Linked DNA regions of Oryzias latipes. The protein of the gene in region 1 purifies or fractionates together with the protein of each later gene. This does not show direct contact. Links are inferred from orthologs where the notes say so. Each region holds a gene or a part of one and is shown in the gene's direction. Other genes may lie near its edges.

Region 1 (4,241 bases):
TTTTTTTAAAGTGAACCTGATGGATGACAGAAGATTTGCTTTTTTTATTTGTATATATTTTTAGTTTGACTTTTTTGCAATTTAATTATTTTTACTTGTTAAAAACATGTTTGAATATATACGTCCATTTAAAAGAAAAACAACTGTCTAATTTAGGTAAAACAACAGTTTAACTTTTAAAGTGCAATGAAAAAATGTGGAAAATTGAGACATCAGTGACTTACAGTTGCAACATGATGACGTATTTTTTATTTTAAAAAAACTTAATTTCTGTAACTTTTTATAGAACCCTTTTTTCATATTTTTAAAATAATGTTTAATGTAACATGTACAGTTAAACGTGAGACATATCATTGAAATTTGATGTATATTGCATGGAAACTGTTTTATGGATATTACACTAAAATTTATAGGGTAGATTCCAAAAACTCAATTGTTTACCCTCTTTTTGTTGTATGTCATCAGCAAAATGAAGCCTACGTCAGCAAGACCGAGTTGCGAAAGTACAAATTCCTAAACCTGATAGAAAAGAATCAAGATCTAACTCAGTGACGACCTGGGAATCAGATAGTTATGATAGCAACTAAACAAGATAATCAGAACTCCTGGAGACTCTGACGACAAAGGACATGTAAACATTTGAATAGTGCTACCAACTCTTTTCTGCTCTGACCAAATCTCTCAGACATTTTTTTGTCAAATGTTGTTGTAAAATGAAGACTTGTCAGTTGAATTGATTTCTCCTGCAATCAAAACATAATGTTGGTTTTATGTTGGTTGAAAGTTGTTTTTGTTTCCTCATGATGATGCTCAAGATGGAACAAAGTTCAGTTTTTAATTTTCTACCGTTTTGTCCCATTTGGGGTCACAGGGCTGCTGGAGCCTATCCCAGCCACTTGGGCGAAGGCAGGGTTCCCTGGACTGTCTGTTGCAGGGTCACAATCACACACACATTCACTCTCACACCTAGGGACAATTAAGTGTTTCGACAATTAATGGTTTCCAATTGACCTATGAAATGGGAGGAAGCTGGAGACCATGCATGGATAGAACATGCAAACTCCACACAGAAAGGCCCCCCATTGGTGTTGTGTTGCTGGTCCCCCAGATGGGACTTGAACCTTCTTGCTGTGAGGCAAGAGCGCTAAGCACTGCCCCACAGTGCAGCCCCTGAAATGAAATAATACATTAATAGTTAATAATACATTTACCTTTTTTGAAAATATAAATAAATAAATAAATAAATAAAAGTTCTTACAAACTCAAAAGTGGATGTATGTATATAATGCTTTTTAATTCTGTAAAAAACCCAACTGTTATTTTCAATATTTAAGTCACTTAAATTAAAATTATGAAGCATTTCAAATTTTAAATTAACTGAATACTATTTAGTCTTCTCTAGTTCTCTTCTCTAGTTATTTACCTAGCAATTTGTATTTAACAAAACTATCCATATCAGCATTAATGCCATTCTTGTAAAAGCATATAGATATTAATGTTAATGCCATTAACATAATGTTAACGGCAAACAAACAGGAAATTAATGTTTACAAGAACGATTTGAATGGGTAGAATCTTTTTTGTGTTAGACTGAACCAAAATTCAGATACCAGAATTGTTGCTTTGGTTCAGATAAGATGACTTGAAGGTCTCACCAACGTCATGAACTGATCTCTGCTGGTTGACCTGAAGCTAACCAGCTTTCCTGAAGCAGAATGTAAGCCAATAGGATTTCATAGACCTGCTATGTCACAGAGGTTTGGAAAACAAGATGGACTAAACGTCCTGACATCAAAAACACTTGCATGAAAAGTGTCATAGGACATTTATTTATTGTTGTTTTTTAATGCTGTGTCAACATCTAATTCAATCAGGACATATTTTTCCTTCATCCATCATGTGAGGTGAAGAAAAAGTTCTTGCAAAACAGGCTGGACACACGCAAATAAATGTGTAATATGTAATTGATGAGAAGACAGCTGCCAGACGTTTTTGTTGAGGAGCAAGCATTCTGTTTTATACTTGTTCTTAATAAGATTAGTGGTCTAATCTGGGAGGAGTCAGGAATAACCTGCGGAGCTGTGGAGTGCTAGAACTGCTCACACAATCTTTTTTGCTCCCTCTGAAGACACTGACCCCACATTTGATAATTCACAGATGGCCTTTAAGGAAGGAGACTTCAGGCTCCCTTACCTCGCTCTATGAAGATAACCTGACACAGGGGGCAGCAGGAAGGCCACAGGATTGATTTTCCACAGAGCAAAAGAAGGAATGACAATTTGGTTTGAGAAATACTGGTAACAGTAGTTTTGAAGGGACTCTTCACCAGACAGCAGTCGTCAGCATCACATTTATGGTACCAGAGGTAAACCCGCTTTTCTCCGTTTCATTTTTTATTTTTTGTTAGTTTGTATTTCTTTACAAGATAAGTACTTTGTACTTTACTGTTTTGTGGGGTATTTTTGGAACTTTTTTTTGTATTCTTATCAGCCAAGAATAACATTTCAATTCTCTAAAACACTATTTCCTTGCTTATTTAAACCATAGTACACATAAGTGTGCATAATAATTTTTAACCTTTGTGTTTTCAGTCTTTGATATGACGCTCAGTCTGAGTCCACATGGCATTTCATGTAAAGATAGGAGGTGGAGCTCTGATGGAATACAGTAAGTAAAAAAAAAAAAAAAAAAGGAAAAAACAGAAACTACATAATTTTACTGACTAAAGCACAATGCAGCTACATGAAAATACTTTTTAAATACAGAGGATGAGGGGCTATTTTTACTGTAATGCCCTCATGACAGATCATTAGTGCCAACCAAGGATTAAACACGTCCAAGTCAGATCACACAACTGATTATCTTAATCATTTAACCGAAACAGTTTAACCTACTTCATAGGGACTTGGTTGGGTGTGTGAAATGTTCTTTCAAAGTATCTAAATACGGTTCCGAAACCTACAATTAAAAAAATAGAGTTAATTTTAAAGAATTAATTCATTGAAAAACATCACTTTGAATCTTTGTTCATACCTTTTTTTTTTAGCTTTATTTATAGAAGAAAGTTTCACTGAGAGTAGACTATGCTTACCATGGTGCAGAGGTAGAGCGGTAGACCTCTGATCGGAAAATCACAGGTTTGGTTCCCGCCCCTTTGGGCAAGACACTGAACTCAGCATTGCTTCTGGTGGCTATGGGTTGTTGTCAATGTTCGGCAGTGGAGCGGCTTCAGTGTGTGAATGTGTATGTGAATGTGTGTGAATGGGACAGTGACTGTAAAGCACTTTGGGCTTTCTAAGAAGGTAGTAAAGCCCTATACAATTGAGCTATTTATGGATTACTTTTCTTTTCCTGTTTCCAAAAAAATACAACAGTAAAAGCTCCCAGAGCAAAATACACAATAGTAGGAGAAGCTATACGATATGTCATCCCTGGACACATGCAGTGCTCAATCGGGTGTGGAGGTGAAGACTGCAAATATGATAACCCTGCTTACTGGAGAGAAGACCAACAGGCCATAAAGGGCCTCTACTCCTCCTGGTAACCATCATTTCTTTAGTTTAATTTTCCAAATCATTTTACCTCACTGACTTGTCAAGGGCTTGAATTTAACATTATAATTCTGTTACTGTGGTTACAGGATCACAGAGCATCTTCTTGCCATGTCCAGACCTTCAACGGAAATTATTGAAAAGTTTGACGTAATCAATCAGTTTAAAAGGTATGCACTCCTTTGTTTCTCGGTCAGTACCTTTCTAAAGGTTTCTGAGGTAAAAAATGATAAAAACATCTTTGCTGTTTGAAGGAATGGCATCAAATCGGTCATCAACCTACAGATGGTAGGAGAGCATGCGAGCTGTGGAAAGCCTCTGGAGCCAGATAGCGGGTTTTCATATCGTCCAGAGGTCTTTATGGAAAACAACAGTATGTACTTTGGTATGTCTTTAGAATAATTCGACAGTAAGTCTGAAAGGAAAAACTAAACCATGTTATGCTCTAAGTTTTTTTCTATAATTACGGCTGGTGTGACTACGGAGTGGCCAACCTCACCACAATGTTGGACATGGTGAAGGTGATGGCTTTTGCACTGCAGGAGGGAAAAGTAGCGGTCCACTGTCACGCTGGCCTCGGCAGAACAGGTAGATTTTTGAGGAAATGTGTACAAAAGGCTTAGAGACCCTCTCCAATAAAAACAATCGGGTTTTGGGTGTTTATGATATGTTCTTGTGGCTTTTTTCATG
Region 2 (3,945 bases), on another chromosome or scaffold:
ATTCATCCTACTTTGCAATTTCACAAAGAAAATGGGTAAAAAGGTTTGTGATGGGTATATTTATATTTGAAAAATAATTAATAATTGTGGGGGGTTTCTGGGGGTAACGACTTCACCTTAAAAACAAATTCGATTTTGCAGATTTTGTGAACCACCTTCACATTTTTAGTAGAACCATCTGGAGGGGCAACAAAGCCAACATTACCAACAACAAAAATCTGACTTTTGAGACCAGAAAAATGTAGCTGTGTGGTCAAGGCTAAACCTTTTTTAGGTTTTAAATTTTTCTATTATATATTTTATTTAAAGTATTTAATTTGCTCAGCTAGCATATTATATTTTATACCATCAGACCAGTTCTAATTTTTAAAAACTTACTTTTTTCTGCTAATTTATCTTAAACTTTTAAACTTAGCTGTTAAATATCTTGCAGGTTAATTAAATGCAATCAAAGACGTTTTTGCAGTAAACTTAGTTTTTCTAATGTTAAGCATGAACATGCTAAAGTATAACGGAGCAGTAAAAGTATCAAACAGGTCAGTGTGACCATTGGTTTAATCCAGATGTCTGCTGACTGAAGCTCCAAAACGAATTTGGCTCTCTGGTTACAGAAAAATAAAACGTTTTTAATTTAAATAAGTAACTGTAAAGTAAAAAGAAAAAAAGCAAACTGACTTAAATGACCTCATACACAAACAGTTGAAGAACAGTACGCATTAACAGGTTGAACGAAAACGTTATGCCAGATTTTTGTGCGCCATGTACCACAGAAAATCAACTGGAGGTCAGTGAGCAAAACCAAAATTAAGGTGCACCGGATTATGAGGCCTCAGGGTGTCTTTTATTTTGAAAGGATGTCATGTCAACCTCTGTCAAAAGTTATAAACTATTTCATATTTTGAAAAATATATATTTTCTCTGTATGTTAATCTTTTTGTATGCAAAAAAAAATTATGTTTATCATAACAATAACATAAATACATATCGGTGTCCTATTTTTTCTAAACGATGAAGTCATATTTTTTGGTTCTGTTTAAGTATTAAAGGTTGCAGAGCCCTGCTTTTAGGCCTTTCTAATCTTTGACAAAACATCCGTCATGCGCGTGCACATTATAAAGAGGGTTTGGTTCACGTGCGGAAGAGACTCGAGGGGAGTTTGAAGAATTGACTTCTGGGATGCGGAGCAGCCGGCGGCAAGAGAGCGCGAGACACCAGCACCACCGCGGGGGAGTGAATGTTTCCAGGAGCAGCAAAGAGACGAGCGGGAACTCCGAACCGCGCAGTTTGACTTAAACACACACATTGTTCTGCTTTGCTCGGTGAACAGAGGCTGAGTGGAGGAGGGGGGGGAGGGAGGAAAAAAAAGTTAAGATCCCACGAATCAGCGCGTGGGAGTGGGAAGCAGGATCGTGACCAACTGACTGAGGCAAGCTCCACTGTCTGTCTCGCCATGGCAGGTAATTCGTCTGGACTGTGTTAAACGTTCTGAAAAAAAATGTTTTTTTTCATTGTTAAAACGTCGTTTCTTGGTCGTCTCTGCGTTCCGGGAGTCAGGTTTTATTCACCCACCAGTTCATTTCTGTTTTAGCTAACGATAGCTAGTTAGCCGAACTTGGCTAGTGCTAACCTAAGCTATTCACAGAACTCGACTGTCCTCGCGCAACAACAGAAACATTTGCCGGTTAAAGCTAGCTTACCAGTTACCGTTACAGCTGTTTTGCTGTTATCTACACAAATAGGTTGCATTACTAACCTGATAATGATATGCATGGCAGTTTAGCCAAATCTGTTAATAATTTTGTGGCACCGGCATGAAATAGTGTTAAGTTTTTGTAGCTAATGGCCGAGTATTTCGCTCGTACACGGAGGTTTTCTTTTGGTATACTTCTGTGCAAACCTCTTAATGGAATAACAACACACAAGGCTGCGAGTTATTAACCCAAACGTTAGGGCAAGCTCAAAGTAGCGCCACAGTTCTCAAACATGCATCGGCTAGCTTGGCAAGCCGTCATTGCTAGCTTTAGCGCAAACTTTGACATTGCTCACATGCAGGCTAGCAGGCGGGCCCACTGAGCTCTGAGGGAAATGTTCACGCAGTTTCTGCTTCAAAGGCTACAAGAGGCGCGGGATAACGACCATTTCATCTGTAGAGAATGCTCAGACTTTCTCTGCGATGTTTTTCATTCATTTGTTAGCTTTACTTTAGTAGCGAAGTATTGTGATTCCAGTGGGTGGGGGGGCCTCACCCCCCACCCCTATAGCAGACTTTGATTTTAAATTTGGTTTTAAAGGCATAGCAGAAACGTCAATCATGGAAAGTGTGGAATGCTTGCACGTCGTCCATTTTTTGAGTGACTCACATTTTTAGACAAATGCATTGCACAAGACTCCCCAATAAAACATTTGAGATATTTTGTTCCTCCAGTGAGTGTTTTGACTCTTTCTGGTGTGTATGCACAGAAATGATTGTACCTGCTTCCTTTGGGCTTGTTTATCCTACAAAATGTACTCTGTTAAAGTATGTGCTGCTACGTCAACCTGCTTTAAGGTGACTGTTGGAAACATTCGGTTTCAGTTTTGTAAGTGGCCACAATGATTGCAGTGCCAGAATTGTTCATGTATGTTGAGTTCCTCTTAAACCAGGCCTCAGCATGACCGCTGTTAACCAGCTACAAGACCTAAGATGAAGAGAACAGTCTAGCAGTTACTGACTGCACCCACTTTTATTGTAATTAAAAGATCATGTAGTTTTATAGCTGTGAGTTGACTCACTGGAACAGAACTGGTTTTGCAGGTGTAGACTGTCTCGAGTAATAGTGGTGTATCTTAATGTTTTAAGATATAGCTTATGTTATTTGCACATATTTATGTGGGACCAAACACAAAAAACTGATGGAAATTCATGTTGGCTGCATGTTTAGCGGACAGATGCACATTCCTGCATTACCGGCACAAATTTTAAGTACGGCCAAGTCTAAATGTTGTGGTTGGTCGCGTGTATTAACCTAATCCTAACCCTTCATCCGGGTCCGTGCAACCAAAGAAAAAGTCAGCTCTGGCTGCGTGTATTTTGAAAATTCTGTGTGAATGATCACTTTCTTAAAAAAGATGCTGCACAGTTTTCTACCTAAGTGGTGGTGCATGTGTGCACGTATGATCATTAAAATATTGCGGTAATGGTCAGTGGAATCATTGTTAGACCCTGGATCTCAGACAGGTCCCAACACTGATCTTTTCTGAAGTAATTCATGAATATTATTGAGCACAAGTTCTAACTGCTGCCACCAGGGAAGAGATGCAGGTCCTTCAGAGCCAGGACCAACAGACTTGAAAAAGTTTTTACCCATGCTCCATCAGGCTCCTTAATGATACTGTCAACACCCAGTCACCCTTTATGTATGGATTTGTACTTTTTTGGTTTTTAATATGATTTTCTTGCACTTTGGCATGTTGGCCACTTTCAATTCTGTCTTGCTCCTTGGCAGATGACAACGAAGTGTGTCATTCTTAAAAAGCATTTTTCACTAGGTTTAGAGCAATATTAAGTCAATAAAATCTTCTTCAGTTAAGTCATTCTGGTGTTTGAAGCAGACGGCAAGAAGAGTCACTGAAGATAATCCACTCATTTTTCTCTTCTCACAGCACCTGGAGGTGACATGCAGTGGTGCTTCTCTCAGGTGAAAGGAGCCATCGATGATGATGTCGCTGAAGGTACGAAGAACCATTTGAAATACAGTTTTGTTTAGAAAAATTAAAAATACAGGTATAACAATTTATTTTCAACAATTATTTGATTCATATCATTTGTAGTTGCGATACGAGTCATAGTGTATATTTGTTCAATTTAAATGATCCGATTTGATCAAGAATTAATGGCAAATTCATTCACATTGTCATAAAGTTGTTTTCAACATCAAAATAATAAAAAAGGAACACGATTAGAAC
Region 3 (3,942 bases), on another chromosome or scaffold:
CTCTTATTAAAAGAAATCGGGTTCCCATTGTATCAAAGTGCTCTTGAGCAAGGCACAGAACCTCACATTGTTCGAGGAGGTATTAGGATGGCACCAGATTTCAGCAGCGAAGCCGCCATCAGTGTGTGAGTGTGTGTGAATGGGTGAAAGGGACTGTGACTGTCAAACACTTTGGGCCTTCTAAGAAGGTAATAAAGAGAGCACTACATAAATTTACGCCATTTACCTTTTTTTGTTCTTTCCCTTTCTATAAAATTTCAATTTTAACAAATACATATCTTTAATTCATATGTTCAGTTGTTTTTTTTATTTTGTTCCATTTACTCATAACTATATACGTCTATTATAATTCAGTATTTCATACAAAGTGCAAAACATGCAATAAGAAAGGCTATGCATTTAATTTTAAGAAGACATCTGAGTGGCAAGCTGTTAAAGCCTCCAGTAGCCCTTTTAAGCAAATGGCTTGTTTATGCTTAAACTATGGAAACTTCACATCACTTTGAATTATGAGAGAAAGAAATCCATATCAAACTGAGACAGACAGGGCACTTGCATTGGTTCAGTTCCACAAAATGCAGCATTTGTGGTCCTTACAGGTAATGTCAATTGGCTTTTCACCTTTTTTGCCACTAGATGTCACTGATGGATCGTCCAATCAACGCGGTAGTCCTCAAAGTTGTCATGCAAAATAAAACATCTTGTAAAAAAATGACACGATAGTTTCTTTGAAAGATCAAAAGTTTTTTAATGTATTTTTGTCAATATTTTATTTTATTTTTCCTTAAACTTTTATGTTACCAAACTTATTTATATATAGTCAGGTTAATCTTGCCTATGACCAATTGAGAAAGACTTTCTGTAAATGCAGATTTGTTTTCCATTTATTAAAACTTAAACTGTTACAATAAGTAAAAACTGATTGAAAGTGATATAAATGATCTAAATTTTATTCATAAACCTGGAAAAAAAAACGTGGATCTGAACTTAAAGATATTATTTGCGCACATTAGTGTGTGTATCCGTGTAATAAAGCGCAGCACTGAAAGGGAAAAAAAAGGCTAAATGCAGATGTTGTGAGGTGATGCACGGGAGAGGATGGATGCAGCCAGGATGTGGCATGTGTGCATGACGTCATTTCTCCATGTACCGTGCGCCATTTTGGAAGAAAAAAAAATCACGGATAATTTCCGTGGTCTTGACAGATCTGGAGCCGAGTCTGCACACTGATTGTGGATGTTATCTGTTTTCTCTGAGCAAGCCGCATTGGTCGATCAGGTCTTGGAAGTTTCGTACAACAAGAGCTGCTAAATGAAGCAATGGCGGGTAAGCTACTTTTGAAGGGAGCAGAAGAATCCGGCTCTCTTGGTTGGTGTGATGGCCTGAATCTGAGAGTTAGCTCACCACCAGCGCAGCGGCAGCGCTAAGTTGTCAAACTGTGTCACTGTCGGGCCATCTTCACCGCCAAACGCGGCGTTTTACAGCTGCTAACTACCGCTGTGTTCTTTCGCAGGAGTTGCAGGAGGAAATGATTTCCAGTGGTGTTTCTCTCAAGTAAAAGGAGCGATAGATGAAGATGTTGCGGAAGGTAAGTAGCTTACGCTAGCTAGGCGGTTATGCTAACCCCCATAACGGTGGTCAAGCTAGCAGGATGATGGGGCTGTGTGGGTCTTCACGTGTGATGCGCCGTGTGTGACTTTTTGAGGGATGGACGCACATGTTGTACGAGCGGGGCAGCTGGTGTCGATAAATGTCTGTTTGCGAGCCACCTGGGAAAACGCCCTTTTAATCGCCGTGTGTTGCTAACAAGCTGAATGCTAGGTGCTTGCTAAACTATTAAAGGGGAGCGACCGTGCCCATGACGTCAATGTACTGCGTCTATAAATTGTGGAGGCAACATGGTTTGTTTGTCGAACGTGTGCGTATCGAGGTTGTGTTGTCGACGTTTTATTTAAATATATAAAGTTTGGAAAATGTTGTTCAAAACTAAAAATATACAAGATATTTTATTTTACCTTTTATTTATTGTTATTCATCTGTCCCTTCCGGCTGAAATTACTAAAGTATTTTATGTATTTATTTAAATTTACAAAATGTTAAGCTATGTTCTTTCATGTTCACTAAATAAATAAAAAACTATCCAGGTGTTAGGGTCAAAATTATGCTCCTCTTCACTAAAAATTAGATGTATATTTACAGAAATATAGCATTTCAGTCACACGCCCATGTACCTTTTTTTTATGCCTACGATTAATGCTAATTAAATTATTTTTGCACGTTTTAAATGTTACTTTTAAGCGTTTTTTAAAAGCAAAGAAAGTCTTTTTGCTTTCAGGTGGGGAAACTGTCAATTCGCACATATTTTAGGGTCACAGTTAGGGTTAAAGTGCGTCCAAGCAATTCATAATGAATTTCCATCTGTTTTTGTGTTTTGTTGTGCATAAATACAAGCAAATATCAACGTTCTTCTGTTGAAGATGTTACATAATTTTCATTCCACTGATGTGAAGCGTCAAGTTGTATTTCCAGTCTCACAAATGCAGAGTTACATTTTGTTCTTAAAGGCTTTTATTTTTGTCAAAGCAAAGCAGCAGTTGGACGCTTTTCAAACTGAGCTCAAACCTAAATGATTTAAGCTAATATCTACAGTTGTTTTGTGAGATGAAACTAAACCATAACAGATCTAAGCTATTTCTAATTACTTATGTTTTCTGCATTAAACGTTTTAGCAAAAAATGCTTACATCACATGATTTGTATTTGCATGAGTATACTCACAAATGTAGGAATTACGTATTATTTGGTGCTAAAACTTTATTGTAAATAGATTGGTATTAATGCATTTTACCAGTTGTAGTTAGTCCAGTTTGACTCATATTTTCTACATTATTTTCTACTAAAAACTAAAAGATAACAGCTAAAAAAACAGATATTTTAGTCAGATTTGCTGTAACTCGTGTCTGTTTTTCAGCGGACATCATCTCAACCGTTGAGTTCAACTATTCTGGAGAATTACTTGCAACTGGAGACAAAGGCGGGAGAGTAGTGATTTTTCAGCATGAACAGGAGGTAGGGTTTCTTCACAAAACACCACGCTTACGATCATTGTTCGCACAAGTCTACGTCGTCATTTCATTTTCCCCACTCTTTCTTCCTCTTTCAGTCTAAGAATCGTCCACACTTGCGTGGGGAGTACAACGTCTATAGCACTTTTCAGAGTCACGAGCCAGAATTTGACTATTTGAAAAGTTTAGAAATTGAGGAAAAAATTAATAAAATAAGATGGCTACCCCAACAAAATGCTGCTCACTTTCTACTTTCAACAAATGGTAGGAGGGTTTTTTTTCTCCATAATTTCTGTGTATTTTGAGGCTTTCTGACCTGTTTTTTTTCTCTCTCAGATAAAACTATCAAATTGTGGAAAATTAGTGAAAGAGATAAACGGGCGGAGGGTTACAACCTGAAAGATGAAGATGGGCGAGTCCGAGATCCTTTTAGAATCACCTCTTTACGGGTACGTAAAATCCCACCATTTCATCGTTTCATTCATTTTGGAAGTACTTTGTTGTTAACTTGTCAGGTTTTGTGTCTCAGGTACCTGTGCTGATGCCAATGGATCTCATGGTAGAAGCAAGCCCACGGAGGATCTTTGCAAACGCGCACACCTATCACATTAATTCCATTTCTGTAAATAGCGATCACGAAACTTACCTCTCCGCAGATGACCTAAGAATAAATCTATGGCACTTGGAAATCACAGACAGAAGTTTTAGTATCCTTTTCTTTTAAATATCTCTAGAAAGTTTTCATTTGATGGTTTTTTGTTTTTTTTGTGTGTGATTCTGTTCCACAATCCTGAGACCATCAGTTCCTTAACGGCTTGTTCTCAGATATTGTAGACATCAAGCCTGCCAACATGGAAGAGCTGACAGAAGTAATCACA

What was found. The genes of interacting proteins can lie anywhere in the genome.
Region 2: the proteins of protein tyrosine phosphatase domain-containing protein 1-like (region 1) and serine/threonine-protein phosphatase 2A 55 kDa regulatory subunit B alpha isoform purify together in Homo sapiens (affinity purification with mass spectrometry; 4 studies listed by BioGRID and IntAct, counting the BioPlex papers as one, with this or other methods). This does not show direct contact. The link is inferred for Oryzias latipes from reciprocal best matches to the Homo sapiens genes PTPDC1 and PPP2R2A.
Region 3: the proteins of protein tyrosine phosphatase domain-containing protein 1-like (region 1) and ppp2r2d purify together in Homo sapiens (affinity purification with mass spectrometry; 5 studies listed by BioGRID and IntAct, counting the BioPlex papers as one, with this or other methods). This does not show direct contact. The link is inferred for Oryzias latipes from reciprocal best matches to the Homo sapiens genes PTPDC1 and PPP2R2D.

What each region holds. Positions count from the first base shown.
Region 1 is NC_019865.2:17,422,964-17,427,204, forward strand, and holds the start of protein tyrosine phosphatase domain-containing protein 1-like, read left to right. Parts: upstream 1-1,441; 5' UTR 1,442-2,365; exon of another isoform or gene 2,366-2,591; 5' UTR 2,592-2,621; coding exon 2,622-2,667; intron 2,668-3,374; coding exon 3,375-3,540; intron 3,541-3,640; coding exon 3,641-3,721; intron 3,722-3,805; coding exon 3,806-3,924; intron 3,925-4,001; coding exon 4,002-4,139; intron 4,140-4,241. UniProt on the Homo sapiens protein: May play roles in cilia formation and/or maintenance.
Region 2 is NC_019870.2:24,073,967-24,077,911, reverse strand, and holds the start of serine/threonine-protein phosphatase 2A 55 kDa regulatory subunit B alpha isoform, read left to right. Parts: upstream 1-1,145; 5' UTR 1,146-1,450; coding exon 1,451-1,457; intron 1,458-3,642; coding exon 3,643-3,711; intron 3,712-3,945. UniProt on the Homo sapiens protein: Substrate-recognition subunit of protein phosphatase 2A (PP2A) that plays a key role in cell cycle by controlling mitosis entry and exit. Involved in chromosome clustering during late mitosis by mediating dephosphorylation of MKI67.
Region 3 is NC_019873.2:19,563,822-19,567,763, forward strand, and holds the start of ppp2r2d (serine/threonine-protein phosphatase 2A 55 kDa regulatory subunit B delta isoform), read left to right. Parts: upstream 1-1,142; 5' UTR 1,143-1,319; coding exon 1,320-1,326; intron 1,327-1,513; coding exon 1,514-1,588; intron 1,589-2,970; coding exon 2,971-3,068; intron 3,069-3,162; coding exon 3,163-3,328; intron 3,329-3,400; coding exon 3,401-3,513; intron 3,514-3,593; coding exon 3,594-3,771; intron 3,772-3,889; coding exon 3,890-3,942. UniProt on the Homo sapiens protein: Substrate-recognition subunit of protein phosphatase 2A (PP2A) that plays a key role in cell cycle by controlling mitosis entry and exit. Involved in chromosome clustering during late mitosis by mediating dephosphorylation of MKI67.